3 linked regions of the Anolis sagrei genome follow. The protein of the gene in region 1 purifies or fractionates together with the protein of each later gene. This does not show direct contact. Links are inferred from orthologs where the notes say so. Each region holds a gene or a part of one and is shown in the gene's direction. Other genes may lie near its edges. The genes, in order: TNRC6C, CNOT10 and PAN2.

What was found.
Region 2: the proteins of TNRC6C (region 1) and CNOT10 purify together in Homo sapiens (co-immunoprecipitation; 3 studies listed by BioGRID and IntAct, with this or other methods). This does not show direct contact. The link is inferred for Anolis sagrei from reciprocal best matches to the Homo sapiens genes TNRC6C and CNOT10.
Region 3: the proteins of TNRC6C (region 1) and PAN2 purify together in Homo sapiens (affinity purification with western blotting; 3 studies listed by BioGRID and IntAct, with this or other methods). This does not show direct contact. The link is inferred for Anolis sagrei from reciprocal best matches to the Homo sapiens genes TNRC6C and PAN2.

What each region holds. Positions count from the first base shown.
Region 1 is NC_090022.1:121,165,308-121,175,969, reverse strand, and holds the start of TNRC6C (trinucleotide repeat-containing gene 6C protein), read left to right. Parts: upstream 1-6,036; 5' UTR 6,037-6,071; coding exon 6,072-6,125; intron 6,126-10,662. UniProt on the Homo sapiens protein: Plays a role in RNA-mediated gene silencing by micro-RNAs (miRNAs). Required for miRNA-dependent translational repression of complementary mRNAs by argonaute family proteins.
Region 2 is NC_090026.1:81,512,104-81,522,399, reverse strand, and holds the start of CNOT10 (CCR4-NOT transcription complex subunit 10), read left to right. Parts: upstream 1-5,349; 5' UTR 5,350-5,576; coding exon 5,577-5,598; intron 5,599-7,691; coding exon 7,692-7,786; intron 7,787-9,236; coding exon 9,237-9,398; intron 9,399-9,905; coding exon 9,906-10,056; intron 10,057-10,296. UniProt on the Homo sapiens protein: Component of the CCR4-NOT complex which is one of the major cellular mRNA deadenylases and is linked to various cellular processes including bulk mRNA degradation, miRNA-mediated repression, translational repression during translational initiation and general transcription regulation.
Region 3 is NC_090022.1:138,615,368-138,626,009, reverse strand, and holds the start of PAN2 (PAN2-PAN3 deadenylation complex catalytic subunit PAN2), read left to right. Parts: upstream 1-5,664; 5' UTR 5,665-5,792; intron 5,793-10,642. UniProt on the Homo sapiens protein: Catalytic subunit of the poly(A)-nuclease (PAN) deadenylation complex, one of two cytoplasmic mRNA deadenylases involved in general and miRNA-mediated mRNA turnover.

The sequences.
Region 1 (10,662 bases):
TTGCTATTCTTTGTTTGCTTCTGACCTAGATAATCCTTAGGAGCCTATCTTCTATGGGCCTTGAGAGCGTGCATCTCAAGCCAGGTGCCTTATATGTTCAGTGATAGGGATTTAGTTTGACTGCAACCAAACGGATAAACTGTGTAAAATTAGTTTGGAATCCAAATTTGACTGTGGTATGTCCCAGATCCCATCAGTGAAATGGACTAGACTGCTTCTCTGCTGTATACCATCTGCTGCGTCTCCCTTGAAGAACTCTAGAACTATAACCAATTCTGGGACAAGACAGGTATAATTCCTTGTTTTACAAAAAGGCCATGACCTCCCTTTCCTTTGGTATACAGGCTGTGCCCAAGTTATGAACAAGATTGATCCTGTAGATTTGTTCTTAAGTTACATTTGTATGTAACTCGGAACAGGCACATTTTAAAGTATAATGTCATTCATAGATAGATAGATAGATAGATAGATAGAGCTTTAGCTAGCATAGGGAAGGGTTAATACCCCTGTGGTGTCTGTGCCACTGTTCAGAAGATTTCACTTCCTTTCCTGTCCCTGTGGTATTTGGATTTTAAACAATTTGGCTTGTTGTGGAAACAAGGATTGGTGAGAAAGGTTAAGTGGAGACATATTTTCCCCATGATAATAAGTCTTTAAGGAGTGAATTTGCCTTCCTAGGGTTAATTTCCCTCACTTCCTGCGGTTTCACCCCAGTTCTTAACTAAGAGCCATATGTATGTCAGATGTCTGTATGTCCATGAACTAGGGATAGGATAGGCATAGTAAATTAGCATATTTCTCTAAAGTATTTTATGGTAAAATTAAACTTGTTCAAACTTGTACAAACTACCTGTTACAATAATGATATATTCCAGTGAGATGAAACAATAATTAGATTTACTGTTGAATGTTTCTTTGTGCCTTTTTCAATTGTATAGCCATCTTGTAACTGACTATTCTGAGCTTGCTCAGGTGCAACCTTGAAAAGAGAACACTTCTGCTTTTTGATACCTAATATAACTTTACATCTTTCACTGTTGAAGTCAATTTTCCTCATTTAGAAGTCTGACAGGACCACCCAAGATTTGCTGTCTGCATGCCACACAGCTTTAAAAGATGTGTTTTTTGCTGACATTCATCTAACACATGTGAATTAATATGTATGGTGTGATCAAAGACATATGGCATAGACGAGTATAACAAAGGTGAGAAATGGAGACAAATTTTCCTCAGTGGACTATATACCCCACCAACATTGTGCCTGAATACCTCAAGTTTTGTGCATGTCCTTCCCAAAATGATGACAGGAAATGATGTCACCAAATGAGGTTTCTGTGGGTGTGGGTGGGCTTTTGGCAATTGGTACATGTTGGAGGCTTTGTGTGTCTTTTTTTGGGGAGGGGGGGGAGCGTGATACAACAGTAGGATCTATGGGCCTCATTGGTCATAGGACTTCTTCACATGGGTTATTTTTTGGTGGTCTATGACAGGTGTTCAGCAGTTCAGCCATAGACCCCGATGGCTCTCACCATACCCTGGAGAAGTACTTCTGGGATGGCTCCAGGGCTGAACTGCTGCCAAAACCCTGCCTCAAAAACCCTGTCGCTGGTGGTGGTCCACAGGAGGCTTCCCATCTTTCCATTGGGAAAGATGGTTGAGCCAACTTAAGAAGGCTTCCCCATATGTGCTGAGGTAGGGGGGAAGCCAGGACAATGTGGGGCATGTCAGGTATTTTCCTCTGCCTCAGTAGAGTACTGGAAGCACCCCCAAGCCATGAGTCAGCTGGGTCCTAGAGTCCTTGAGCAATGCAGGAAACTTCACTGTGCAATAATAATAATAGAAGTCCTTTCACTGCAGTATGCAGGAAAGCTTTATCTTCACTTGCTTCAGAAGACAAAGCTATATACACAATATACACACTCTCTATCTCAGCTCTTTGCCCCATCCACAGCTCCATTGTCCTACAACAGACTATGCTGAGCACATAGGAGGTATCTGCTTTTTTTTACTCTCCCCCATGAGTCACTAGCTCAGTCACCTGACTGTGCTAATAAATAATAATAATAATAATAATAATAATAATAATAATAATACATTTTATTTGTACCCTGCCATCATCTCCCCAAAGGGACTTGGGGGCGGCTCAAATAAACAATATTTGGGGCAATTGTAATCTCACAAACATGATAATAACATGAGATTACCGCACACACCTACAATATTGCATAATAAAATATTAAAATTTGTAAAATGCAGTCATGACTGTGGATAAAACTGGTTGTTTTCAATTAATTAATTTACAGAGTGCCTAGGCCTAGACATGAGTGACTCTGCATTTTGCAATGTGGCCAAGTCTAAAGGCCTCAGTACCTTACCATTTTAATTATGACATTTATTTTTTAAACCATGACAGGGTGCAAGACAACAGGTTGCCATGCGCCCTGGATGAGTGCTGCTGGTATCACTGCAATCTGCGGTGATCCAGGGAGATTACGGTGGTGCATGTGAGAAGGTCCTAATAGAAAGAATAGCAAGTTTAAGTGATGCTTGCCTTCTTTCCACTGTATTCTAGATTTATAATTATAATGTATTCCTCTCATAAATCATGCAAACATAGTTCACAGTCAATATGCAGCATAAACGTATTCAGGTTTACTCTGAAATAAATTTGCTAGGTTCAGTCGGTCTTATTTCCAAATAAGCATTATAGGATTGCAGCTTTAAAATTCACACATAAAAGTATCTGTAATGCCCTGTATTTATTTGTAAATAAGTTTCAGATCTTAATCAAGATGACATTGGCAAAGAACAAAATAGCACTCTCCTGTTTCTTTGTGCAAAAGTTGGATTGACAGGTGAATCTTTCCTCAGCGTTGATAGTGAGACATAAACGTTTGCACACTGCTATCTGGGCTAGCTTTCACAGTAGACCTAGTGAAATATGCAAATATATGGATTCAATCTAAATAAAACAACAACTGGTCAAATATATTAAATAAATATTGTAATGGGAGTATCAACCATCTTTCTCTAGCAAAGCCACAGTATTCTCTCCCACAACCAAACCATAGCCTCCAGAATCCTGGAGGTAACAGAATCCATTTTCTTGGGGCTTTTAAAGGCCTCAAATGTATTCTGCCACCTGGTCATGACATATTAATGAGGCAGTGAGAACAAAGGATTGGATTCAAGGGACAAAAACATGGAAAGTTCAGAGAGGAAGGAGTAAGTCAAGAGAAAATGAATGCATTCCATTTTGTTTGAGAAGGCAGACTGAAGTTGGAGGAGGAACTTCAAAAACATGATGGAACTGGAATACAAACAAAAAGCAACAGATTCATGCTGCAGGGCAGCAAGCTTACATGAAGAAGAATTAAAGATGACCAGATAGGGAGAGCTGTTGGCTAGCAAGCCATTAAAACTTTGAATAAATAAATAAAGGGAAGGAGGGAGGGAGGGAAGAAGGAAGGAAGGAAAAGTAGCTGGGTGACTAGTGAAAATTGCCATCTCTACAGGATTTGAGATACTGGGCAAACCACATCTGGTAAAGAAGCATTAAGTACAGCTAATCCTCTCTGTAAAACTTCTTGGTAGCCACAATGAAGTTTATTGATATTTTATACTTATAATGTATTGTATATATATCCAGAAACATTTCTGTGCTATTACACATTTACGTTACCCAGTTTTCACAGTTATATGGAAGCAATGGAACACTTGATAATTACGGCATAGACCTATCTCCTTCCTTAGACCAAGAACCATTCCCTTTCACAAAAATGTGTATCTTTCTATGTAATGATGGTCACATCTCTTCCCCCCCCCCCCCCCAAATTAATACATTCTATCAATACATGAGGCTAAGACAGTGCGACTTGCCCAAGATCACCCAGTACAGGGTCCCCAAACAGAGGCCTGAGGACTGGATGCGGCCCACCGAGATCATTTACCCAGTCCCTGCCCTAAACTTTAGACTTAGGGTAACCCTAAGTCTGAAATGACATGAAGTCACACAACAACAATCCTAATTAACTTGACTATCACATCAACCAAAAGTAAGCCCACACTTCCCATTGTAATGCTGGTAATTATACTTTATTTTAAATATTGTATTGTTCTTTCATGATTTTTTTACTACAAATAAGATATGTTCAGTGTGCATAGGAATTCGTTCATTTTTTCCCCAACCTATAGTCCACCTCCTCCAGTGGTCTGAGGGACCATCAATTGTCCCTCTACTTAAAAAGTACTTCGCAACCATAAATATATATTTCAGACAGTATGACATTTGTTTATAACATATATGGCATGCTCTAGACATGGTTCACAATTGAACCACATAAGTTGGGAGCTATCATAAGGGGCACTTTTTGGATATTGACTACTTACATTTGTTGCTATCTCTACAAGTAATTATTTGGTTACACTTAGAATCATGTAATGTTGTCAGTGCTGGTGGAGGGTAGGATATATTTTACTGTTTTATTAAGTCTTACCCTTTCTGGGCTCCGCTTCCAGCTGCTGGTGTGCCGTCTCCCAGATCCCACCACTCTCACCGCTTTAAAATAGCGCACGGTCGGCTGTTATCCCAGTTCCCAGTTCCCTGGGACCGGGTCCCCTGCAGCAAGCCGCAGCTCCCAGCCTCCTCTCGTCCGGGTCTTTGGTGAGTCTCCTTGAGGGGGACCCACTCTTAGACCGTCGGTTCGAGGTGCTATGGAGATAGCGTCTCTTGGACACTCGATCCGGTCCAAGGGTTGAGGGTTACACCCCCTCTGCTTGCAGCTTAAGGGTTGGCTCTCGGGAGAGTCCCCGGAGCCCTGCCAGCTGCCATTGCCGCCCAACCGGAAGTCATAAGGGGCACTTTTTGGATATTGACTACTTACATTTGTTGCTATCTCTACAAGTAATTATTTGGTTACACTTAGAATCATGTAATGTTGTCAGTGCTGGTGGAGGGTAGGATATATTTTACTGTTTTATTAAGTAAACTCCTAATACGTTTTTTAAAAACCTACATAGCCAAACAAAGAGTTCCCAAACTTGCTGTGATCAAAATAAAGATCCTAGTAAAGTTTTGGATTTGATCTGGCAACTCTGTTGTGTGCCTTCTAAGCAAACTTTTGGAAATTCTTTTTTTTTTTAGAATATAAAATAAGTATTTAAAATTAATTTTGAAAAACTTTATGTTTTAATTTAAATTATAGTTCTCTTGGATTTTGCAAAACTTCTTCCTGCTTGTTAGGGATATAGCATGATTTAGATAAGAAGACTCAAAGTATTAACACAAGAAGATCCAGTGGGCTGAACTATTCAGAAGCATTTGAGCTTAGCATTCTTTGTAACTGATCCCCAAAGAGTAAAAGATCCTATGTTTAATGAAACCATATGTAGAAACAGGAGGAGGTCAGAAAGTTATGGCAACACTTGGAATTGATTTTTAGTTTGAGTTACCTGATCACAATCAGGAAGGAAGAACTGTCACAAACCTGATTTATTATATCATACAACAGATGGTTATGAATGGGAAAACTTTTAGAAATCTGTTTTACATTTGTTATATATCCAATTAAGAAAAAATGTAATGTAAAATAATGTGGGTTGATATGATGATCAAATGGGGAAGAAGTGAGGAATCTACATCACCATGATGTAGGGAAGCGAGGGTATAAGTGTAATTGACAAATTCCTAGGTAGAGAAGGATTTTTCTCCCACAGAGCATCTTTGGAAGGTTTTCAGTGCAATCAATCAATCATACAATTAATTAATTATGCAATTAAATCATATTTATTTGGTTTGTTATAATTTTGTTCAGTGCCAGATATGAGGAAAAGTGTTTATGGGATTTTTCCCCTCCTTGTATGCCCAAAGAATTTGGCTCGCTTTGAGGATCTTGCAACCCAGATGACTGGGGAGGGCAGGTTATCGGTTCTTCTGCCTTAGGCAGCAACATGTTGTGCACTAGGCCTTTGGTAAATTGATGTGTCCTTCCTTGTTTAAACTGACCGTCACATGTTCCTCATGCAGAGATGCCGCTGATCTCCAGAAGAGTCTTCAGGGAGGATGGGCTTGAATGGCTTTTCATGGGAAGGTCAGCATCAAAGATTCTGCAGTCCAACCTAGCCAGGTAAGACAATAGCTTGCACAAAGAGCGATTGCAGGCCAGGGTTGTCTTTTGTTTTTGTCGCAAATGCTGAGTACTGAGATACTATGGAGAATGAGTGTCATAACTCTGAGCTGTACAATTTCTACAACAAAGAATATCTAACAGTGGTGTTCACAAAATTTATAGCTAACATTTGGTTTAGCTCCTCCTTCCATTTTGTACCAATTTGTTGATTGTAATCCTAGCTGGTTTTCTCAGGTATTGTCTTTTACAGCTAGGACAATATGCATTAAATTTTGGAAACTTTAGTACTTCCTAATGACATTTTTTATGATGTAATGATTTATATGCATGTTTGTGGTATTCAGCTGTAAAAATGTACCATTGTAAGTAGACACATAATGTATACCCAGCGTGCTTTCATTTATCAGAGATCCCCTGGGAGGCATCCAAGATGTATGAATAACCAGATGTTTGCAGGAGAAAATGGGGTGCTTAATGCAAAGTTACTTGGAAAGACTAAAATAAAACAAAACACCCCTTAGGTATCTAAATGACTTAGACAACTGAGACCTAGAAAACTGTAGGTTCAGATTTATTTGACACACAATATTTGAAATGTTTACCAGACACATAGAATTTTTTTTATTTTATGACTTGGTCATAAGTGTGATTTTCAGAACTTAGAAGTATGGAAACTGAATGCACATAACACAAACCACATGTACCTGTTCCATCTGGCAAATGGAGTGATCGTGAACTTGGTGTTTCTGCTAACCTTTTCTCATTGCATTAAACCACCTTAATAACTGCTTTTTCCTTGCATGATTACTACGCCCTTTCTTTTGAAATTTATGCATATAGGGATTTAAATGCAATAGATGTCCCATGGATAGCACTTAGTTTGGTAAAATGCTATCCAGGACAAGGAATACCTATATCATTTGGGGCCAGTGAGCCAAAACCTGGAGCCAGTGGTCTCTCTGGGAGAAATTTCTAGAGTTGCGTGTTAAATCAAATTTCCATTTATATATGATGTGTTTCCAGAACTTAGAAAATTACTTTTAAGGAGACCCAGGGTATTATCCTTCAGTTATGTATGGCTCCAGTATGTCATTATAATCCATAATGTACTATATTAAATAAATACTTATGAATGAATAACTTCATTTTGTCTCCAGTCCAGATTCCAAAACCCCACTCTAAATGCTAGCAGCCACATGGAGAAATGGGTGCCTGTTCTCTTAAAAATCAGGGTACAGCATGATGACATTTCTCAGCTCCCTTCCACCAATGATTTGCTGTGCAATGAGGACCCTACTTTTTATTGTCACAGCGTTGATTGCGGTAGGAGGGAGATAGAAACATCATCTTGCTCTAGCCGGCTTACCACAACAACAGACTTTCAATCACTCTTTGTGGGTGATGGCTCTTTTGTTTTCCTTGCACCCCACTTCAAATGATATTCAAGGTATGTTTGGATGGACATTTGCAGTCATGGCAGTAGCACCACAATTGTGAATGTGAAACATGGCTAAATATGGAGCAGATACAGATCTGTAACTTTAGGTTACAAATCCATAACTGAAATGTAGGCTGCCAGTCATTGTTCTTAAAAGTAACTTCCCAAGCCCTGATTCTTTTTCTGGATTAGAATCAGATCCAAGGATCATCTAGAACAGTGGTGTCCAACCTTTGGTCCCTCAGATGTTCTGGACTTCACTTCCCAAAATTCCTGATCACTACACAAGCTGGCCAGAGCTTCTGGGAGTTAGAGTCCCAAACACCTGGAGGGCACCACTAATCTACAGCAACATGATGGTGACCAGCCACATAATCCAAGGACAGTCACGAAGGTATCCTCATACTTATTGATAATAATCTGATCATCCCTAGCCCAGTATATCCGCTATGTGCATTATTCATAACTGAGCAATGGTACCTTAGGATAAGAGACAATGCTTTGAAAGTAAGAAAACAAAGTTGTGTTAATCAAGAAAAAAATCCAAAATGTACAGCGAGTCTAAATATTTGTAAAACTGTGGGCAAGCTTTCCGGAACCCCAGATCTCTTCATAGAATAAGTTGTAAAAAGCAGAGAAAGGCTAACTGAATACAGATTTCTTGAAGTCTGTATGGTCAGATTCTCAAGATGGAATGTAGTAGATGGCACAGACTTCAAGGGACTCCTTCTAGTAGCTTTTGTACCTAATTACAGTAAGTGCCATTGGGACAATGAGCAGCATGATTGAATTTTCTCTTTATTTTTAAAAAGATAAACTTGAGTAGTTACCGGGATATGACTTTTGCCTTAGGCAACATGCACAGAAAGGTAAGTCAAGCAGTTGTTTTTAGCAAGACAGCCTCTTCAGAAAGCAAGCAAACTATTTAAAGAGAATGCTCAGGGAGCCATCTTGTGGTTGATATTCAACATGAGTGAAAGACTGCTTTGCTTGGTCACTTTTCGGGGGTAGCTACTGGCTTGCATTTCACAAAAGCTTGTACTGGATGAAATGTACAAAATTACAAGGCACTTTGTTGTTTTGCCCAATCTGCATCTGCTCAGGTCTGGGAAAAGATAACAAGAATTTTGAAGCACACTGGGGGTTTTAAAAAATGTGTTCACTCTTTTTCAGAAGTTATTTCTAAAGTAGACTAAGGCCCCATTTCCACTTATTATTTAATGCAGCTTCACTTCCAAATGAATGCTACACTGTGGATTAAAGGGGTTACAGCATATTTTTAAAATTCACAGAAAAGTCTGAGATAAGCCCTTGAATATATTGCAGAAGATGACAATATATCCCAAATCGCAGGGTGAAGCGCATCTTTAATAAAAAGGTGATTGAATAATGATCAAATGATGTCAAAAAGATTATAGTCTTGATTTAATCTGACTTTTGAACTTTTCAGTTGGTATGCTCATAATTATCCCTTTGTGGCATCTACATCGATGCCAGAAATGCATATGCATGTCATTAGGCAATTAACAATGATCAATAATAAACTCTCTGCCTGTATTAGTTTGGGCAGATCATTGTGGGATGTACATACACATAAACAATCTCACAGAAAGAGAGAGAAAATATATATAAAGCAGTTGTCCTTACTCATGAAACCGAAGAGATCTATTGGTTAGTATCAAAAACTTCCTGTCTGGAGGTGCTCAGGGTTACGAAAAGACTTGTATCTCAAATAAATAGAGGACATCCAATCATGGAAGCATTTCATCATTGCAGAAGGTAGGAAGGTAACCCCTGGGAATACTCCCTAATTGCCTCTCACTCCCATCTCATTTTACATGATCTGACATAATACAAGGAAAGAGCTATTCTCAACAGTATCCCAGATCTATAGTCTATTTAGTAGCTTTATGGGTAAGTGACATCAAAACATCAAGCAGAAGGTTTGTTCAAGGACTTACATCCTTTCATTTTTCTATTTCTGAAGTGAAAGTGCTTGAAATGATTACATAACAAAACAACAACAACAATAAATACTTAAAAAACAAACAAGTCAATTAAATAGGAAAAAGCAATATACCAAATGCAGCGGCTATGGGCAAAGATGAGAAAGATTGCTGTAGTTTTAAATATGATTATGCCCCAGGTAAATTTAAAAGCTCCTTGAACTTCAGTCAGCAGTGGAACATCAGTAAAGAGTTGGGAAAAAATATAACTTAACAGGACAGGATGTTTTACATACTGTGTGTTACAATGGAAAAGTCCCTCTCCTGGGTATCTACCAATCATACCAGAAATTGGAGGAATGTGCTAGAAGGATTTCAATTATTAGTAATATGAAGTCATATGGAGATAGACTGTCTTTAGTATTGTGGTCAAAAAGTGGGATGAGATAGGATTAATCAGAATTGTCACTACTCAGGATGGTGGTTGAATACCTATCAGCTGACAAGCAAAGCAATTGGAGGAACGGAAAATAAGGCAGTGTTTTCTGTCGACACAGAGATCCTTAAAAACACAAATTTTATAAGTTGGTATAGAAAAGAACCAAGGTTGTTGATATATATATATATATATTCTCCATGATGTCTTCGTGGGAACTATCAGCTTCTAAGGCATACCACATATTGTGGTGTCATTTGTTGAGAAGAAAAAGGGGTGGGTGGAGTTGTGCAAAGAGAAGAAGAAATTGCTCTGTTAAATCATTCCACTTAAACTTCATCACATAGTATGTGTGTAGAGGAAAGAGATTTGTATGTGTAAAGAATATGTGTGAAGAATGTCACCTTAAGGTTAAGATAATACTCTCCTTGCTTTAGGAAATCTCTTTAACATCCACCACAAGGTGGCTTCTCCACTCTCCATCACCTTTTCCCGGGAATACAGGAAGCTACTTTATGCTGCTGTTGTCCTTATATGTGCCTTCAAGTTATTTCTGGCTTATTACATCCCTAAGGCAAACCTATCATGGGCAAAATGTATTGCCTTTAGAAGCTAAAATAGTGAGACTTGCTTTAGGTAACCCAGTGTAGTTTGCACGGCCTTGTGAGGATTCAAAACTCTAGAATCATAGTCCAACATTCAAACTAAACCATT
Region 2 (10,296 bases), on another chromosome or scaffold:
TTATTATCAGGATTCAGTTGTGTCATATACTTTTTGAAAGGCAAGACTTGATTGTGGAACTCTTGAGTATAGAATAAATGAGAGTACAACTGAGCATGTGCAGAAACCTTGATTGGCTACTAGTATTCATTGTGATACTGAGCATTATCAGGGAGTAGGAAACAAAACTTTCTACTCAGAGGACTGACCAGACATGAGCCTCAATATCTTTAATCTTTAATATGAACAGTCTGAAAATGGGATGCAATTGTTTTAATAATGCAGGGCAACACAGACTTATATTACCCAGATATGTAAGTGATTGATGGAGGTATACTGCTGATTAAATCTTCCAACAAAGTATCATGAATATTATTTCATGATGCTTTTGGTAGTACCAAATTAAGCCCATAGGCCCTTGGTATCTCCACTGGAATTTGGCTTCAAAATCCATGGATGCTCAGGTCCCTACACAGGGGCAGAGTAAAATGATATTCCTAATATAGAGTGACAAAATCAAGATTTACTTTTTGGATTTGTTTTTGAATATTTTCAAGCCATACATGGTAGAATCTATGGATCCATAGTTATGGAGCGCCAACTGTATTCATTTCTCCAGATATTTACAGAATATTGGAAAGGTGACATATGAAATGGGGTGGTTCTACACAGACACTATAATCCAGTTTGGAAGTGGATTCAAACAAGCCGTTTTGTGTCTACACAAACAACCTGGTTCAAGGCTGGGATGGTGGCCTGCTGATTGTGGATCAGAACCTAAACACAGGTAGCACCCATGGCTAAACATCCACCCAAAAATGCAGAGGGTTTTTTGTACTTGGCCTGCTGATGCACATATCCATGTCAGTTTGATATCCGCACTTGACCATAATAAGTGACAAAACATAAAACAAAGGGATGAAAAGCAAGCATTGTCATGGGAATTATGTGGGGGTTTTTTCTCCAAGGGGAGTAATTGTTTACCTTTCAGCCAGCCATGTTTCGGCATCTTTAATGTGCTTCAGCACTAGAGGTGTCCTGACAAGCGCTCCAAATTTTCAGTTCTGGTTTCAAGCCCTGCATGACATATACTCTGATCCAACTGCAGCACATTATCTACCATATTCCAGACTTTCTGGTTAAGTTTTTTAAAACATGCTATTGCAGGCTTGATGCATCCCTGTGGGTGTGTGTGTGTGTGGATTTTGTCGACAACCTGCTCTGGATCCAGCTTTGAATTGCATTATAGGTAGAACTGCCCAGGAGGAGGAGACTTTAATTTTTCCCTTCTTCCCCAACATACAATCCTTATTAAAAGCAATTGAGGAACAATATTAATTATTTAAATTGCCTTATTTCAGTCAGTCCAAATGTACTTGAAATATCAGGGCAGAGTAATTCTCTGAATTGGACATATGGTCAAGAACTGCCTCTTCCAGGGCTATTAGCCGAGCTTTGCCTAAAGCTCCCTTTAAATCTGAGCTGTCTTGTGGTTATGACTGACTACACCCAGGCATTAATTCTGCTTTCTAGCTCAAATGCAGCAGGAATAGATATTTTGTTTCTGTGGGGCTGGATTTCTTCCTTCTCTCCAACACAGGTGTATGCTAGAAAAAGTACGGTGACATGGTATGGTATATCCAAAACCTGGTGTTCCACCCCGCTTTGTACAGCTGGTCTCTAGCAATCTCTAGTGAGATGCCAAACACAAAGCTGCTTTTAGCCAGCATTACTCACTTGACTTTACTAGCCCTGTCACTGATAATTGGATTTGTAACATGGTGAGATGTTTATTTCTTGACTCCCTTTCCCCGCCCTTTTCTCCCACGTGACACATAAATGCAGGAGCTAATGCAAAGCAGAGTTACAATATGAAGTTTCTTAGACATTCTGTATTTACACCTAAACAAATGTGCTTATTCTAGCCGGGGGTGCAGAAGTACAATTAGCTGCCTATATTTGTTGAAATAGAAAGCAGAAGGGATTAACATACAAAGTAATTTCTCATTTAAATTGCATGGTAATTGTTTAGTAGTTCAAAACATACACATCTCTAGCTGGCAAGGATACAAGAGAAGAGCTTTATAGCGACTTCTAGTGGAACTCCCTAGGCAAGGATTTGTTCTGTTTCCGTTCTTTATTCAGAAGCAAAACTTTTAATCACTTTATAATCTCTATATGTACTTATTTTTTCCTTCCTTTTTGTCAATATAGGAACTCAAGGCTGCTGCTGGAAGGGGGGGGGGTGTCTACCTAGTTGGGTGTCTATTATTGTTGTATTTTTATTTCTGTTATTTATTTCGAATGCATATTTTATTATATTTTATATTCTATTTATAACTAACTGGGAGGGGGAGGTGAAAATATGGGAAATGATTTAAATAATAACTAAGAAGTACTATCAGTTCTCCTACATTTGCTATGGTTGAGGGTGCAGGACCCTTATGAAAATGGGAAAATGTGAATTTTTAAATAGTTATTTTTGCTACCCAAGAGAACAACTTGCTCAGAATCTCGAAGTTCTCCAATGCAACTCTATGGTCAGCTTCTGCCAGGATCTAAAGATCATATTAATCAAATCCATGAATAATCAACTCCATAAAAGTTAAATCCACAAATGTGGAGGGACAACTGAACAATTATAAAGCTGAGGTTAGTTGGATCATACTGGTGTCTGGTGACAGGCCCACTTTCTTCTCTGAAATTACTTTTCCTGATCAAGCCTGACTGGAATGGCCATATTTGAAAGATGAAAGGCAAACCAAAGATCATGTGAAAAAGAGGAAAGGACTCCTATATTTTTTATTAGTTATGTGAGAGAGATAATTTTTGAAGCTTGTATGATATCTGCAGAAATCCCATTTCCTATATTACTTTTAAATATATTGTGCATATACTGTTTGTGTTAGATAAGAACAGGGATAGAAACTAAAATAAATTAAGTTGAAATTTTTGTAATGATAAAAGGGTACTTTTTTTAAAATGAAAATTATCCATTTGTGCTGGAATGTCAGCATTAATGTAATTCTTGAGTTAGGTTATTAATTAATAAAATGAGAGGCAATGGTAAGAAGCTGACACATTTTATCTTTCCCAGATGGTTCTTTATTCAAAACCTAATTCTCAAAGATTTTTGCTGTATTCTAGTTCCCCAGGGTTGGGAAGCTATCACTTTTATGTAATTAAATCCATAACACTTGTCTTAGTTTGTGACTGGAAAATGATAGTTAATTCCAAGGTTATAACATTTTAACGCTTTAAGAGCAGCTTTAAAAGGCTTGCATCAGACACCCTATAGAAGCATTGTCCCAAGTGCCACTGTCATCACCCTTCGTCAGGATAGTTAGTGATAAGGAGCTGCAGCTCCACATCTGCAAAGCCAAAGTTCCCCGATCACTGATGTAGGTGAAGGGATACATTTTGTTGCATGAAAATAACATTCTATCCAGAATAAATGTGCTATTCAGAGGACTTTTAAAATTTAAAATGCATACTAACCTGCTGTATAATGCCACCTAGTGGAAAAACACTTTTAACACAACAGAAACACAGCTAAAAACGGTCCAGCAACTGTTTCATGAATCAGCTCTTTCTCTGTGCTTTTTCAGAACCTTAGGGCCCTTCCACACAGCCCTATATCCCAGAATATCAAGGCAGAAACTCCCACAATATCTTCTTTGAACTGGGTTATCTGAGTCCAAACTGCCATATATTCCAGTTCAAAGCAGATATTGTGGTATTTTCTCTCATGATATTCTGGGATATAGGGCTGTGTGGAAGGGCCAACAACAACATGGTACAAGATAGTAGGAAAGATAAGAGGAAGACCACATTTCAGATAGATAGACTCAGATGGATAAAGCTCTAAATGGTTCAGGTCCAGGCTATTTAACTAACCACATCTCCGCAAACAAACCAACATGAATACTGCAGTATATTATACTATATTATTATACAACAATACATATAATACACTACGAGTATTTTATACCATTAGTACTATATAATATATTGTACTGTATCATAAGGTGTATAAGTTAAGGTGAAGGTTTTCCCCTGACATGAAGTCCAGTCATGTCCAACTCTGGGGTGTGGTGCTCATCTCCATTTCTAAGCTGAAGAGTTGGCATTGTCTGTAGACACCTCCAAGGTCATGTGGCCGTCATGACTGCATGAAGCGCTGTTACCTTTCCACCGGACTGTTACCTATTGATCTACTCACATTTGCATGTTTTCGAACTGCTAGGTTGGCAGAAGCTGGGGCTGACAAGGGAAGCTCACACCGCTCCCCAAATTCGAACCTGCGACCTTTTGGTTAGCAAGCTCAGCAGCTCAGCGCTTTAACCCAAATTTGGAGACAATACACTTATCAGGCCAACAAGTGACCATCACTCATAAAAACACTGAAAAACACAGCGACAAAAACAACTCCAACCCCAAAAGGCTGCTAGGAAGGCTGTTAGGAATTGTGGGAGTTGGAGTCCAAAACCCCTGGAGGGCCCAAGTCTGCCCCTACTTGGTCTACACCATGGAATTATTCCACAGCATTAAGCCATGGTAGTTAAAGGGGCCCCATAGGCCATCCAGCCCCACCACTTTTTCAGTAAAGGAAGACACCATCAAAGCCCTTCTGACAGATGGCCATCCAGTTGGAACCCCAAACGCCATCCAGTCCAACCTCATTGGGCGGTAAAGGAAGACACCATCAAACCCTACTCGACAGATGGCCAACCAGTTGGAAGGGCGCCCCAAAGGCCATCTAGTCCAACCCCCTTTGGCCCCTTTAACATGTGTGTCTGTCTGATCATCCATCCATCTACCTACCTATGTTCTATCCATCTACCTTCTGTTCCATTTCTCAATGTCCCTTCCATATGTCTCTATTGTTCCATGCCTGGAATTCCTGTTTTCTGAGGGCCACAGCAACGCCTGGCAGGGGACGGCTAGTATATAATATTACAACATTATTAATATAATATAATATAATCACCCCTCCCTCAATAGGAGGCTTAAGGTTTGATTTAGGTGGAGGATCCATCTACACTGCAGAATTAATTCAGTTTGAGACCACTGTAAGTGCCATGGGCTCACACTACATTTATCTTACAGCGTAGATCAGGCATGGGCAAACTTGGGCCCTCCAGGTCTTTTGGACTCCAACTCCCACAATTCCTAACAGCCTACCGGCTGTTAGGAATTGTGGGAGCTGGAGTCCAAAAGACCGGGAGGGCCCAAGTTTGCTGCTACTTGCTATTCCCAAGTAGGCTGACATCCGGGTCCCTCTTCTCTTTTCCTGTCGGCCGCGCCCACTAAAACTTTGAAAGCTTCTAGCTCCGCCCACTGCAGGTTTTACGCACGTGACGCTCCCTGCGCTGAGAACAGCGAGGAGACGTTCGGGGCTAGAGAAGCTCCCATTCCCCGAACCGGAAGGAGAAGAAGAAGAAGCTCCGGGTCAGGCGCTGAGGGGGAGAAATTGGTTTGTTTGATTCGCGACTCCTCACTTTTCCCTCAGGCGGAGGCTTGTGAGGCGCGGAAGGCCTTGTCGTGGAGTCCGCCCAGGCCGCAGCTACCTCGGGAGCCTTCAGTAGAGCCACCCCATGGCGGCAGACAGAGGCGGAGGTGAGGACAAAGAGGCGAGGCCGGCGAGGGAGGGAAGGAGGCCAGCCCAGGCCCCTTGGCGGGAGGAAGGGTACCTATGACAGGGTTTCCTTCGGTATCTCTCTCCTGGCTTTCTCTCTGGAAATCTCAAGTCAAGGGAATCTCAAGTCTCTTTAAAGCCCTGGTCGCTCAGTTATGTTAGACTCCAGTTCCCAGAATCCCTGATTATTGGCCCAAGCAGCTGGGAGTTGGGAGTCTAAAACAGTTTGGGGATTGGGTTGCTCTGAGTTTTCTAAGCATTATGGCCATGTTCCAGAAGCATTCTCTTCTGACGTTTCACCCACATCCATGGCAGGCATCCTCAGAGATTGAGAGGTCTGTTGGAAACTAGGGGTTTATATAAATGTGGAATGTCCAGGGTGGGAGAAAACTCATGCCTGCTTGAGGCAAGTGTGAATGTTGCAATTGATCACCTTGATTAGTGTTGAATAGCCTCGCAGCTTCAAAGCTTGGCTGCTTCCTGCCTGAGGGAATCCTTTGTTGGGAAGTGATTAGGAGTCCCTCGGTGGCACAATGGATTAAACCAGGGGTCCTCAAACTTTTTAAACAGAGGGCCAGGTCACAGTCGCTCAGACTGTTGGAGGGCCAGATTATAATTTGAAAAAAAAAAACATTAATGAATTCCTATGCACACTGAACATATTATTTATAGTGCAAAAAAAACACATTAAAACAATACAATAATTAAAATGAAAAACAAATTTAACAAATATGAACTTATTAGTATTTCAATGGGAAGTGTGGGCCTGCTTTTGGCTGATGAGACAGGATTGTTGTTGTTGTTGTTGTTGTTGTTGTTGTGTGCTTTCAAGTCATTTCAGACTTATGTTGACTCTGAGCTAGGGCCAGGTAAATGACCTTCGAGGGCCGTATCCAGCCTCCGGGCCTTAGTTTGAAGACCCCTGGATTAAACCCTTGTGCCGGCAGGACTGCTGACCAATAAGTCAGCAGTTCCGAATCCAGGGAGAGTGCAGATGAGCTCCCTCTGTCAGCCCCAGCTCCCTATGTGGGGACATGAGAGAAGCCTCCCACAAGGATGGTAAAACATCAAAACATCCGGGCGTCCCCTGGGCAACGTCCTTGCAGACAGCCCATTCTCTTACACCAGAAGCGACTTGCAGTTTCTCAAGTCACTCCTGAAATGAGGGGGGGAAAAAGCTGTCCTGATTGTTTCTTGTCTGGAATTCCCCTGTTTGTGAGTGCTGTTCTTTATTTATAGTCCTGATTTTAGAATTTTTTTCCAAACTGGTAGACAGATTTTGTTCATTTTCATTGTTTGCTCCTTTCTCTTGAAATAGTCCACATGCTTGTGGATTTCAGTGGCTTCTCAGTGTAGTCTGACATGGTAGTTGTTATAGTGGTCCAGCATTTCTGTGTTCTTTAATAATATTCTGTTTCTAGGTTGGTTGGACACAGCTTGGAGATTTCTCCTTTCAGAGCCTGAGAGAAAGAAGGCAGGGGAAGAAGGAGCTAAAGTTGCAGTGGGGATGGATCTACACACCTAAATAATGCCTATAATGCAGTTCAACTGCATTACAGGCAGTCTCAGAGTTACAAACATCCAACTTAAAAATGACTCATAGTTAAGAACGAGGGTGAGACAGCAGGAAGTAAAAAAAATCTGCACTGCAGAAGGGAAATCCACTCCTGAAAGAGATATCATGGGGGAAAGGTGTCTCCACTGAAGCTCTATCACCAATCCTTGGGCCCTTCAGACAGATCATATATCCCAGGATCTGATCCCAGGTTTTCTGTTTATCCCAGATTATCTGGCAATGGGGACTCATATAATCCAATTTAAAGCAGAAAACCTGGGGTCAGATCCTGGGAATGTAGGATCTGTCTGGAAGGGCCCCTTGTTTCCACAACAAGCCAGATTTTTTCAAAATCCTATTATCACTGGAACAGAAAGTGAAGTAAAAGGGGGGGGGGGGGAGAGTTCCAACTGATATCTTCTCTCTAACAAGAGTAAAAGATTGTCCTTGAAGATCTGCGTTGATTTCTTTCATCTTCTTATATTTCCCTTCTTCTCTTCTCAATTATTTCTTACTTAGATCAAGGAACAGAAAAACATGAAGGAACGGGTATCTCTTCTGGGATTACTGATCAAGAGAAGGAACTATCAAACAGTGCACTGCAAGCATTTACGGTAAGATACGATTCTTCAATTTTGTTATGTTAAACAGAAGGTACATCTGGTTACAAATCTTCTTTTCTGCTTTCAGGAAATACTTTATTTGACATGACAAAAATATGTTTCACTAGGATCCCATCTACACAGCCATATAAAATCCAGATTATCTTCTTTGAATGAGATTACATTAGTCTACATGCCATATAATTCAGTTCAAAGCAGATAATCTAGATTTTATATTGCAGTGTAAATGGGGCCTAAGTGATTGGACTTTTATTATTAATTTCTTTATATGTGTGTGTTACAGATTTTTAATTGTTCTTCTGGAAATTTTTTAGATTAAATTAGAATATTTTATTTCAAAATCAATCTGCATCTTTCTTCCTCTACACTAAATAACAAAAGTACAGTACAAAGAAATCTTATAAATATGCTAACACAATACGGTTTTATGAAAATTAATGGAAGGTTTTATCATAGTCACATGCTGAGTTGCGTATTAATCCAAGAAAAAAATGGGTTTTTCAATGTCTCTCAACTATTAGTTCTTGCTTCTTGGCAGTTACTGTCTTTTCACTTCTGTTTCTGTTGCTAAAATGACATATGCAAAGACAGAAAAATGTTCCATACTTGTGTGCTTATATTTCCTAATAAGTATATTGGTGCTTGTATGTGGTTTAGTTATTACCAAGCTTAACATTCTTTTGCTGAAATGTGTAGTTTGATAACATATAAGGGGTGTTGCATACTGTTTCCTAAGTAAAAATCTAGTCAAATAAGCTTATTTAACATGTATCCTCCCTAACAACAGTAAATCACTGTAGTATAAATTGCCTCAGTTATCAGAATTTTACCATTGATTACGAAATTTGTGAAGAACTATTAGTAGTCAACTTTATTTTTAAATCACGGCTTTTCTTTTATGTCAAACATTATTTGAAATTAATGACCTTGCTTTGCAATTGTATGGAAAAGGTATTTTTCTGTCTCTCCTTTTCTACATTGAATAACATAACATATTGTAAAAAACTCAATTGCTGTATTCCCATGTCATTGGAGTCCCAAAAGATTATGCAACACTAATATTATATTGACCTTCTGCAGAGAACACTGTGGTCAAGGCATACCAAATCTCTAATGCTCTGCACCCAGGAACTCTTGGCTTAGAGCAGAATGGTTTGAGATAATTTTGCCGAACCAAGCGTAGAGGGGTAGTGTTTGGGTACAGACAAGATGTAGCATATATTGATTAAACATGCTTTATTTGGCATCTTTGCTAAATTGGATTTTATGGAAAGCTGTGGTTGAACAGACCAGCAACTGTTCTTCTAAACCTTGTGTTCAAAGGGTGGAGCCACATGTGATCTGCCTTTGTAAGTGTAAATGAACAGCAAGTGCTTTGGGATTCTAATTTTGTTTTTATTTCAACACAGATTTATTCAAATGTTGTAATTTTAACTTATAGATCGGAAACTATGATGTTTGTCTCCAACATCTTAGCTGTTTGCAAGAAATAAACAAGGATGACTACAAAATAGTTTTGAATATGGCAGTAACAGAATTCTGCAAAAGCAATCAGACAACAACCGATAACTTGAAGCAAACACTTAACCAGCTGAAAAACCAGGTATAGTTTTGCAGCATATCTATAATTGCAGTAACCTTTCCCAGTATGTAATTAAAGTTTCTTGTAATGTGCACACACTTCTCAGCACGCACAATTCTGTGAAAATATTTTGTCCTTTAAGGTAATGGAATTAAAAGGACAAACTAGACCAAACTAGACTGCTGTATTGTTTTCTTGTAATTGTGCTTTGTAACCAGACTGAGAAGTTGTTCTCTGTTTTAAAATGTCTTATCATTTTCCTGTAACATTAAGTATTTAATACTCATACATGCAATAAATACAATATAGTAAACCCAGTTACTTGCCTACATCTGTGGCCTTATACTACAATAGTCTAAGAATAGAACAGTGATCACTACTGATTGCTGCAGTCTTATTTTCTTGAATTAGTTCATTCTGGGAAGAATGGGGCCAATTAGTAACACCAATATAGTAACTCAGCTCTTTTTATTTGATTGTCTTCTGTCCGAAAATGTATGGGCAATGCTTCAGTTCTTTCTTTCTCAGGTTCATTCAGCAATTGAGGAAATGGATGGCTTGGATGATGTTGAAAACAGCATGCTGTATTACAATCAAGCTGTTATTTTGTATCATCTGCGACAGTACACAGAAGCAATAGTAATTGGAGAGAAGCTTTACCAGTTCATAGAACCTTTTGGTAAGTTTATAAGGAAGCAAAAGGCTCCTGGTTCTTCCTGTCTCCTCCAGCCTTCTTCTAAGTGGGGGGGGGGGGGGGGGGGCAAGCATCTGTTTTTCAGCAGTTGTGTTCACTTGGCAAAATCCAGTATGAGTCCTAACAAGAGCACACCCATTGAAATAAACAAGTTGTGTTAATTAATGTAAATTCCATTGATGTCAATAGGTAGGATTTACATTGGATTTAGTTTATTTAAATTGT
Region 3 (10,642 bases), about 17 Mb from region 1:
GGTAGCAAATTGGCAACCAGTGGAGCTGGCCTAGGAGAGGGGTTGTATGCTCTCTGTATGCCACTCCAGTGAGCAACCTGGCTGCCGTCGGTTGTAGTTGGAGCTTCCGAGCAACCTTCAAAGGCAATCCCATGTAGAGTGCGTAATCTACTCGGGTTGTAACAAGAGCGTGGACCACCGTGGCCAAGTCTGACTTCCCAAGGGCCTGGGGGCCCTTCCAAACAGCCATATAACCCAGAATATCAAGGCAGATAATTCACAATATCTGATTTGAACTGGATTATCTGACTCCACACTGCCATATAATGCACTTAAATGTGGATTTTATATAACTGTGTGGAAGGGACCTGAGTTATTTTTAAAGATTACTAAGGACAAAATTAAGGGGGGACCAGGTCAATGCATAGAGGCCCCTTCTACACTGCTATATAAAATCCTGATGATCTCCTTTGAACTGGATTATATGACAGTGTAGAAGGGGTGTGAGTCTAGTATTTTCATAAAAAATACCGACAGTTGAAAAGAGTGGGAGAAGAAAAAAAATGGGATACAGAGAAGTGGAATGGCAGAGACCTTGAAGAAGCACTCCAAACTAAAATATTTTGGTGCAGGTTCCTTCCATTTACCTACCTAGGATGAAATGCAGTAAAACACTGCAGTTAAGTAAAAATGTGTGTATGTACATGTGTGTAGATACTTACATACACACAGGCATGTAAGTAGAAAAGCAGATTATGCACAGTAAATAATCTTATTGGTAGATATAGGTGCAGTCTCATATTTGGAAAGAAAATCATCTTCAGTACACTTTAAAGGACAAAATGCGGCCCTCCTGAAAGTTTGGGACCAATACAAGGAGAGAATGTACCCAAAAACACCGCTATGGCTCTCCACCTTGGAGGCTCATCAAAGGAGAGAAATAGGCTGGAGAATATGGCCCACGTATAAAGACCTCCTTGTCAAGGTTGGAAAGGAAGTAAGAATGAAATCATTAGAAGAGTTAAGAGAAAAATATAACAACCTCACTTGGCTCCAATACTGGCAATTGAAAGAGTATTTTGCAAAAGACAGACAAATAGGTCTCACGGAAAGCCTATCCGCTTGGGATAGATTAATAGAAAACCCAAGAAAATTTATCACCAAAGCTTATGGGCTACTACTTGAATGGTCTACAGAGGAGGAGAGAATTAAAGAATATATGGTTAAATGGGCAAGATTGATAGGGAGAACAATATCCCTAGAAGAATGGAACACCATCTGGATCGTAAAAACAAACTACTCATATGCCTATGAGATCAAAGAACACTGGATTAAAATGGTACACCAGTGGTATCTAACGCCCTCCAAGATTGCCAAATTTTCAAAGAACATGTGTAATAAATGTTGGAAATGCGGGTTAGAGGAGGGAACCTACAAACACATGTGGTGGACCTGTGTGAAAGTAAAAGCTTACTGGAAAACAATCCAAGAAAACTGCCAAAAAATATTAAGAAAAAACATCCCACTAAATCCAGAGATATTTTTATTGGGTTTAACAGGGAAAACATGGGACAAAGGGACTGATAAGCTATTTGTCTACCTGGTCACGGCGGCTCGTATACTTCTCGCCAAAGTTTGGAGAAAAGAGGAAATTCCATTGGAGGCAGATTGGATTAATAAAATAGTAGATATAAGGAACATGGATCATTTATCATACATTCTTTCAACTACACGAAATATACCAATAGCAGAGACAAACTGGACACCGGTTGAGGAATGGTTGGAGGGGAAAAAGCTAAAACTATAAATGGGTTAATACCACCACCACCCCCCACAGCCATAGCCCTAACTGTCATACACTGTTGGTAAATACATAGACCTAAATATAGAGCATAGTCGTTCCTAAGTGAATCGCCCCGCAAACCAAAAGATTCGATGCAAATATCCAGATAAAACCTCTGTTTTTATACTTAACAACATTCTAAAGAACAAATCAATACAGATCATGAAAAGGAGCAAGATAATAATAATAATAAAAAAAATTTAACTAGAAACTGGGAATCTTGAGAGAAAAACGAACCGAGAGCGAGAAATAAAGAGAAATGATGCACGAAAGTTCTTAAAGTAAGAAGGACACTGTTTAACAAACCTATACTAGAACCAAACAGCAGAGAAAATACATACACTTTAATTTACAAACGTAGACCGTAAACGAAAACCAAGAGAGGATCTACTAGAGTGGGAGAGAGGAGGTCCGGCCAACTGAGGTTGGCCAATTTTTAACGTATTTGTTTATTCGTACTTGTACCTTGTTTGTACTGTGTTGTGTCGGTAATTAGCTGTTTGTATGTGCAGTCGTATTTGTGTGTCTTTTTAATGTCATAAAATAAAAACTTAATAAAAAAAAAAAAAAAGGACAAAATGAGAACCAAGTTTGGATTTCCCTCCACTTGTTTTTTTCCCCTAACCCACAAATAAATGTCTTAGTAGTTTCAGGTATATGTGGGCTGAAGGTTTAGTAATCATTGTTTACAAAGTTGTATCACTGAATGTTAACCTATATTTTTACATATTTATGATCAACTGGGGTGTGGAAAATACTACTCAGTAACACAACAATAGGTTGGCTTAAGTATAGCACACCAGGTAGAAAATTCCTACTGGACTGCATCATTACACATTACATAGTGTAAGGGATGTCACAAACTGGAAATCACTCTTAGGGTAATTCCATCAAGACATATCTGCTACTTCAACAGACCTTGATAAACTGTTGCCTGCAAGACAGTCTGCACACTTGTACGTATATGAAAATAACTGTAAATATATGTCTTCATCCTACTTTCCCTGGCTGCTGCATTACATTTCTCTCCTGGGCCCCTTCCACACAGCTGAATAAAACCCCACATTATCTGCTTTGAACTGGAATATGTGGCAGTGTGGACTCAGATAACCCAGTTCAAAACAGATAATGCGGGATTTTCTACCTTGATATTTTGGGTTATATGGCTGTGTGGAAGGGCCCCCAGTGTGTGGTCAGTCTTCTCTGGACAGATCCCTAACATTATATCTTGGGTTATCAACATTTCTGCCTAAGGGTTTTCTTCTGGAGCAGAAATGGGCAGAGTCCCCTCAAGGTTGTAAAAAACCAATTTTCTTTGTTTCAAAATGTGCTATAGGGGTGTGAAGGGCATTTTCACTATGTTTTGGGGTTCTTGGACCAATTTAGGCCCAGTAAAGACCTTTTTATTTTTGAAAAAAGACCTAAACAGGGATTTGTTCCCATTCACTTTTTCTCCTTAGCCTTAAATGGTCTGGGAAGAGCCATATAAATATGGCAAAATGTGCCCTTGACCTCTTTCATGTTGCATAGTTTGAAAACTTGAATATTTATTTCATTTATTATTATTTATATGCTGCTTTTTCTTTCTTAAAAGAGGCTCAAAGAAACCAACAATATTATAAATACACAAGTGTAAAAGCTTGAATTTCTTTTCACTTCCACGAGGAACATTCTTCATTTTAGAGAGGTGATACAGATAATTGTTTCTAGAATAGAGAAGGAAAAGGACAACCGATTAAAACATTGTATGATAGAATCTGGAAAGTATGATTTCATTGTTGTTCTATGCCTTCAAGTCATTTCTGACTTATGGCAATCCTAAGGCAAGGTTTTCTGGGGCTGTGTGTGTAACTTGCCTAGGATAATCTGAAAGGTTTCAATGGAGCAAGCTTGTTTTCTGCTTCCTTGGAGACTAGGACGCGGAATAATGGCTTCAAACTACAAGAGGGGAGATTCCATCTGAACACGAGGAAGAACTTCCTGACTGTGAGAGCCGTTCAGCAGTGGAACTCACTGCCCCGGAGTGTGGTGGAAGCTCCTTCTTTGGAAGCTTTTAAGCAGAGGCTGGATGGCCATCTGTCAGGGGTGATTTGAATGCAATATTCCTGCTTCTTGGCAGAGGGTTGGACTGGAAGGCCCATGAGGTCTCTTCCAACTCTTTGATTCTATGATAAATACACAAGTGTAAAAGCTTGAATTTCTTTTCACTTCCACGAGGAATATTCTTCATACTAGAGAGAAGGTGACACAGATAATTGTTTCTAGAATGATTAGAGAAGGAAAAGGACAACCGATTAAAACATTGTATGATAGAATCTGGAAAGTATGATTTCATTGTTGTTCTATGCCTTCAAGTCATTTCTGACTTATGGCAATCCTAAGGCAAGGTTTTCTGGGGCTGTGTGTGTAACTTGCCCAGGATAATCTGAAAGGTTTCAATGTATTGTCGAAGGCTTTCATGGCCGGAATCACTGGGTTGTTGAAGGTTTCTTCGGACTGTATGGCCATGGTCTAGATCAGGGGTCCTCAAACTACGGCCCGGGGGCCGAATATGGCCCTCCAAGGCAATTTACCCGGCCCTTGCTCAGGGTCAACCTAGGTCTGAAACAACTTTAAAGAACACAACAACAACAACAAAAACAACAATCCTTTCTCATCAGCCAAAAGCAGGCCCACACTTCCCATTGAAATACTAATAACGTTATATTTGTTAAAAATTTTCTTCATATTAATTATTGTATTGTTTTTAAGTGGGGTTTTTTGCACTACAAGTAAGATATGTGCATTGTGCATAGGAGTTCATTCATGCTTTTTTCAAATTATAATCCGGCCCTCCAACAGTTTGAGGAACTGTGACCTGGCCCTCTGTTTAAAAAGTTTGTGGACCCCTAACCTAGAGACATTCTCTCCTAACGTTTCGCCTGCATCTATGGCAAGCATCCTCAGAGGTAGTGAGGTCTGTTAGAACCAGGGAAAGGGGACTTATATATCTGTGGAATGACCAGGGTGGGACAAAGGACTCTTTTCTGCTGGAGCTAGGTGTGAATGTTTCAACTGACCACCTTGATTAGCATACAATGGGCTGACTGAAAGGTTTCCATTGGCAGAGAAGGAAATCAAACTCTGGTTTCCGAAGCTGTAATCCAAGGCTCAAGCCACTGCTTCAGACAACGTACACAGGCTGCAAACTTCCGACTTACAAATGACTCATAGATAAGAACAGGGTGAGCCAACAGAAAGCGAGAGAAATCTACCCCTCGAAAAGGAAATTCATTCCTGAAAGAGTTGTTATTGTGGAGAAAAGGTGGAGGCTTTTCACCAATCCCTTGTTTCCAAAACATGCCAAATTTTTCAAAAGCTAACTGTCACAGGGACAGAACATGAGGTGACATCTTCTGAACAGGGAGCCAGGCAGCAAAACCAAACCGGCAGGGGTGTTTATACACTTCCCTAGGCTATACCCTTCTGGCCCCGTTGCGCAAAAGGAAACTGGCTGCGCATCCCTCCAGGTGGCTGCCCTGCGCTGATTCACGGGGAGGGAAAGGACGAGTTCCTTGTTTGGAGAGAACAACAAGCCGTGAAGAAACCCTAAGAGGGGGCCGAGGGGCTGAAAGGGCACTCGCTGATTGGTCGCCGCGCAAACTAGGCCGCCGCCCTCCTTCGTGATTTGTAAACGAGCCACGCGGCGAGCTTCACTTCCCCTTTCAACCTCATAAGCATTACAAACAACACCCGCCAAGCTTTTTGTCCCTTTCAGAATCCCGTCCTTCAGTTAGTCACGTAGCGCCGCTCGTGTAAAATGTAAGGTCTGCTCTGATTGGATGCCTTCCCACAAGGCGCTCAGGGATTGGTCGGAATCAGCCCCCCTTGTTGCTGAGCTACGCCGAAGGAGCGGGAGATGGAACGAAGAGGGCTGGGGTTGCCATAGCGGCGGTCGCGGCTGGGAAACCGGAAGAGCAAAGGATTGTGGGTAACCCCTCTCTTCTTCCTGACAATGGCCTGCGGATTGTTGGCAGGGGAGCGGGAGCCCAGTGGTTTTTCATGGGCGTTCTTGAGAGCCAGAACGTGTGGCCTATTTTGGTCCAAAACAACCGCCAGTTTTAAGGATGGAGCCACTGGTTCCGGGGATGTTGCCCGCCACCTCACTTCCTCTTCCCTCGTCGGGGTCAGGGACAGGCCTTTGTGGGAACCATAGGCCTTTGCTCCGAAATGCTTCCAAAATGGTTTAGAGCAGTGGTTCTCAACCTGTGGGTCCCCAGGTGTTTTGGCTTTCAACTCCCAGAAATCCTAACAGCTGGCAAACTGGCTGGGATTTCTGGGAATTGTAGGCCAAAACCTGGGGAGCCGCAGGCTGAGAACCACTGGTTTAGAGGATGTTGGGGCATTTCACCCACCTCTGGCGGCTCCATTTTAAAAAATGCCCTCAAATGCTATGCAGAGTAATTCTATTACATTTTGAGAGTTATGCCTTTTTGAGCCGTTTTGGAAAAAGGAAATAACTCACTTCATTTTGTCCCACAGCATTTGAGAGCAAATCTTTTTTTATGGGAGTTAGGGCAATGGGGGAAAGCCTTCCGTGTTTTCTGGGGTGGGTGGGGGGAGTAATGTGTCTCCCAAGTTTCCAGTTGCCCAACCCCACTCTTTAGCACATTTCATAACAGTAACACAGTTTTGCCACTCTTTTGATTTAGTATCTTGCTATGTTCTTGAGGGATAACAATTGTCAAGGAAACCAAAATGGTTATGCCATTGATGTAACCCATGACTAATCTGGGCAACGCTGAGAAAGGTTACTTTCTTGAGTTACAACTCACATAATTTTGTCGTAATTTGGCCTGTGATTTTACTAACTGAGGTTTGGGGGAAATAGAGAAAAAATAGCATTTGCTTTCTCTGGATCAGGAGTGCTGATCAAACCTGTAACTTTTGTAGGGCATAGCCCCTTTAATGTGGGCGTTATTACAATTAAAATGGGGCTGTCCAGTTGATTAATTCACCACAAACTAGGAAAACCCTAATTTGTTACTTGATTTATTCCACAGCTTCTTGGAAGGCGCTGGATAAACCCATTACTTCTGGTGTCTGGACTGTAGTCCAGACAGTATTCCCACGGTTTTCCAGGCTAAGTTAGCCTGGAAAACTGAGAATACCAACCCCCTCCCCAAAAGACCCCCAAAACAGTGTAAAAAAACCCAAGCAAAATAACTTACCCGGCCTCCATTAGAGGGCTGCCAAGTCTCTCCTGGCGCAAACAAATGATGCACCAGGAGAAGGAGGAGAGGAAGATAGCTCTCCTCCCCTTTCTCCTGGTGCATCATTTGTACATGCCAGGAGAGCTCCAGCAGTCATTTGAACTCATTACTACTGAGTCTAAGGGCCCTTCCACACAGCCATATAACCCAAAATATCTAGGCAGAAAATCCCACAATACTTGATTTGAAATGGGGCTCCTTCCACACAGCTGATTAAAATCCTACATTATCTGCTTTGAACTGGAATATATGGCAATGTGGACTCAGATAACCCTGTTGAAAGCAGATATTGTGGAATTTTCTGCCTTGATATTTTGGGTTATTTATTTATTTACTGTATTTGTATACTGCTTTTCTCAGCCCTCAGGCAACTCAAGGTGGTTTACAGGCAACAATTTGATGCACACAATATCAGAAATACAATTAAAAACATTAATATGTAATATAAAACCACAACAAATCAATAAAACAAAAATCATTAGCGTCTCCTTGTTTAAACATTGTCCAGTCCATCATCTAGTCGTTTCATTTTCCATGTCAGTTACTCTGCATTTGCAAACGCTTGCTCAAAAAGCCACGTCTTGACTTTTTTCCAAAATGTTAATAGGGAGGGGGCCGATCTGATATCCCTAGGGAGGGCGTTCCATAGTCGAGGGGCCACCACTGAGAAGGCCCTATCTCTCGTCCCCGCCAGATGTGCTTGTGACAAAGGCAGGATCAAGAGCAAGGCCTCCCTAGATGGTCTTAAGGTCATAGATCAGGGGTCCTCAAACTTTTTAAAAAGCGGACCAGATTACTGTCCCCCAGACCATTGGAGGGCGGACTATAGTTAAAAAAAAAACGATGACAAAATTCCTATGCACACTGCACATATCTTATTTTGCTATTGTTATTAATCGTAATGTAAATATCTGATATGCAGGATGTATTTTTATTGTTACAATCTGAACATAAAGCATAGTGATTAATCACAAAAACAATATGTAATTATACATTGTGAAATATTTATTTCTCATTACAAATAAATGAAATTTTGATTTCAAGCATGTCACAGCATAGGTAATAGTCTTAATATAACAACAGGGGATCCATGAATATGTTTACTGATTAGCCTATCTGCCAAACTCCCATCACCAACAGAAAATACTGGAAAGGCTTGGGGAAAATAGACTTTAGCATTTGAGAGTTGCTGGGATGAATAGTTCCCCTGCCAACCAAGAGCATTCTGAACTCCAACAATGAAATTGAACCAAACTCAGCTTACAGTGAGAACAAACCTACATAACTTGTTTGTAAGTTGGGGACTGCCTGTACAAGTTGGGTCACAGGGGTAACAGATACTACTGTACAGAAGAATAATACCTGGCAGAGTCAATGAAAGATTAAATGCCTCTGATCTTGAATGCTAAGCAGGGCCAGTTCTGGTTAGAATTTGGATGGGAAGCCACAAATGAATAGCAGGTGCTATATTTCAGAGAAAGAAACTGACAAAACTATTTTTGAGTATTTCCTCTCAAAGAAAACATTAAATTCATGGGGCCGCCAGAAATAAAAGGAGACCTGAAGGCACATACATGCACACACACCCAACGATGGGCTGCTGAAAGCAATATAGGAATACATAGAAAAATATAGCTTTAGCATTTCTGAAGATAAAATAGTTCCAATGAGAATGAGGAAAAAATTCTATTTTCTGCCTTATAAAGTGGATTTTGGAATATGTAAGCATGAATTATATTTCATTTCAAAGTTTAAAAGATCTTTGCACGAGGCCAGGCTGCACGGTGCAACTTACCTGCCTCGCACTGCCCCTCATGCGAGCCGGGTGCTGCTGTGGTGCGCGCAGCCTGGTGTTGTGCAAAGTCCCTTGCCAGGCCCAATCCCCTCACCTGCCTCGCGGTGCCCGTCGGGCCTGGCAAGCAATGGAAGCAGTGAGGGCTTTGCGTGAGAACAGGCCGTGTGGTGTTGCCTCCCTTGCCTCTCGCATGAGGGGCAGTGCGAAGCAGATAAATTGCACTGCATGGCCTGGCCTAAATTTAGCGAAGCCCTTATTTATTTATTTATTTATTTATTTACAGTTCTTATATTCCGCCCTTCTCACCCCGCAGGGGACTCAGGGCGGATTACAGTCAACACATATATGGCAACCATTCAATGCCAGTTTTGACAAACAACGTTTAACACACAAATACACCAAGGCTATTTAACTTTTTTTCTGGCCGCCAGGGGAGCTGCTGCTTTTCGTCGTCTATCAGTGACACCAATGAAGTTCTTCCGCATTCCACATTCCCCGGAATCTTTTTTCTTTATGGCCTCATAAATTAGTTAAATTTAGCCTCCCACACAAGGTGGTGCCTTATTTTCCTACTTGACAGATGCAACTGTCTTTCGGGTTGCAAAGGTCGACAACGGGCTACACAATGGCTGGACACCCACTCCAGCCCGGGCTGGCTTCGAACTCATGACCTTTTGGTCAGAGTGATCTTAATGCAGCTGACACTCAGCCAGCTGCGCCACAATCCCGGTCCTTACCGCTTCCATTGCTTGCCAGGCCCGACGGGCGATGCAAGGCAGGCGAGTGTATTGGGCTTGGCAAGCGGCAAGGGGTTTTGTGTGAGGCCAGGCCGTGCAGTGCAACTTACCTACCTCACGCTGCCCATCGTGTGAGCCAGGCAAGGGAGGCTGCACCGCGTGGCCTGGCCTCGCGCAAAGCCCTTTGCCGCTTGCCAGGCCCAATCCCCTCACATGCCTTGCGCTGCCTGTCGGGCCTGGCAAGCAATGGAAGCACTGAGGGCTTTGCGCGAGAACAGGCCGCGTGGTGTAGCCTCCCTTGCCCAGCTTGCACGAAGGGCAGTGCGAGACAGATAAGTTGCGCCGCGCGGCCTGGCTTCGCACAAAGCCCCTCGCCGCTTGTCAGGCCCAATCTTCTCACCTGCCTCACGCTGCTTGTCGGGCCTGGCAAGGGAGGCTGCACCTCCTTTGCCTGGCTCGCACAACGGGCAGCACGAGGAAGGCAAGTTGCACCGTGCAGCCTGGCCTCGAGCGAAGCCCGTTGCTGCTTTCTTTGCTTGCCAGGCCTGACGAGTGGCGTGAAGCAGGCAAGGGGATTGGGTCTAGCAAGTGGCGAGGGGCTTTGTACGAGGCCAGGGCAGGCCGCACGGGCCGGATAAATGCCCTCAGCAGGCCACATGTGGCCCGCGGGCCGTAGTTTGAGGACCCCTGTCCTAGATGGTTCATAAGGGGAGATTCGTTCAGACTGATAAGTTATATGGCTGTGTGGAAAGGCCCTTAGTCTCCAGGGCAGCATAAGCAAGCCTGCTCCCTCTTCCTTATGACATAATTTCACATATTTATATATGGCTATCTTATCTTGTCTCAGCCTTCTCTTCTGCAGGTTAAACATACCCTATTAGCTGAAGGCATAGTATTGGGGTTTATCTCTTTATCAAAGAAGAAAAGGAGTATAACTTCAGACTAGTATTCATATAATAGGCCAAAGATTTGGCAAGTCCTGACACATGTTCATATGGTAGCAAAAATTCTGTGGATTAAATTACGTAGTGTTTTT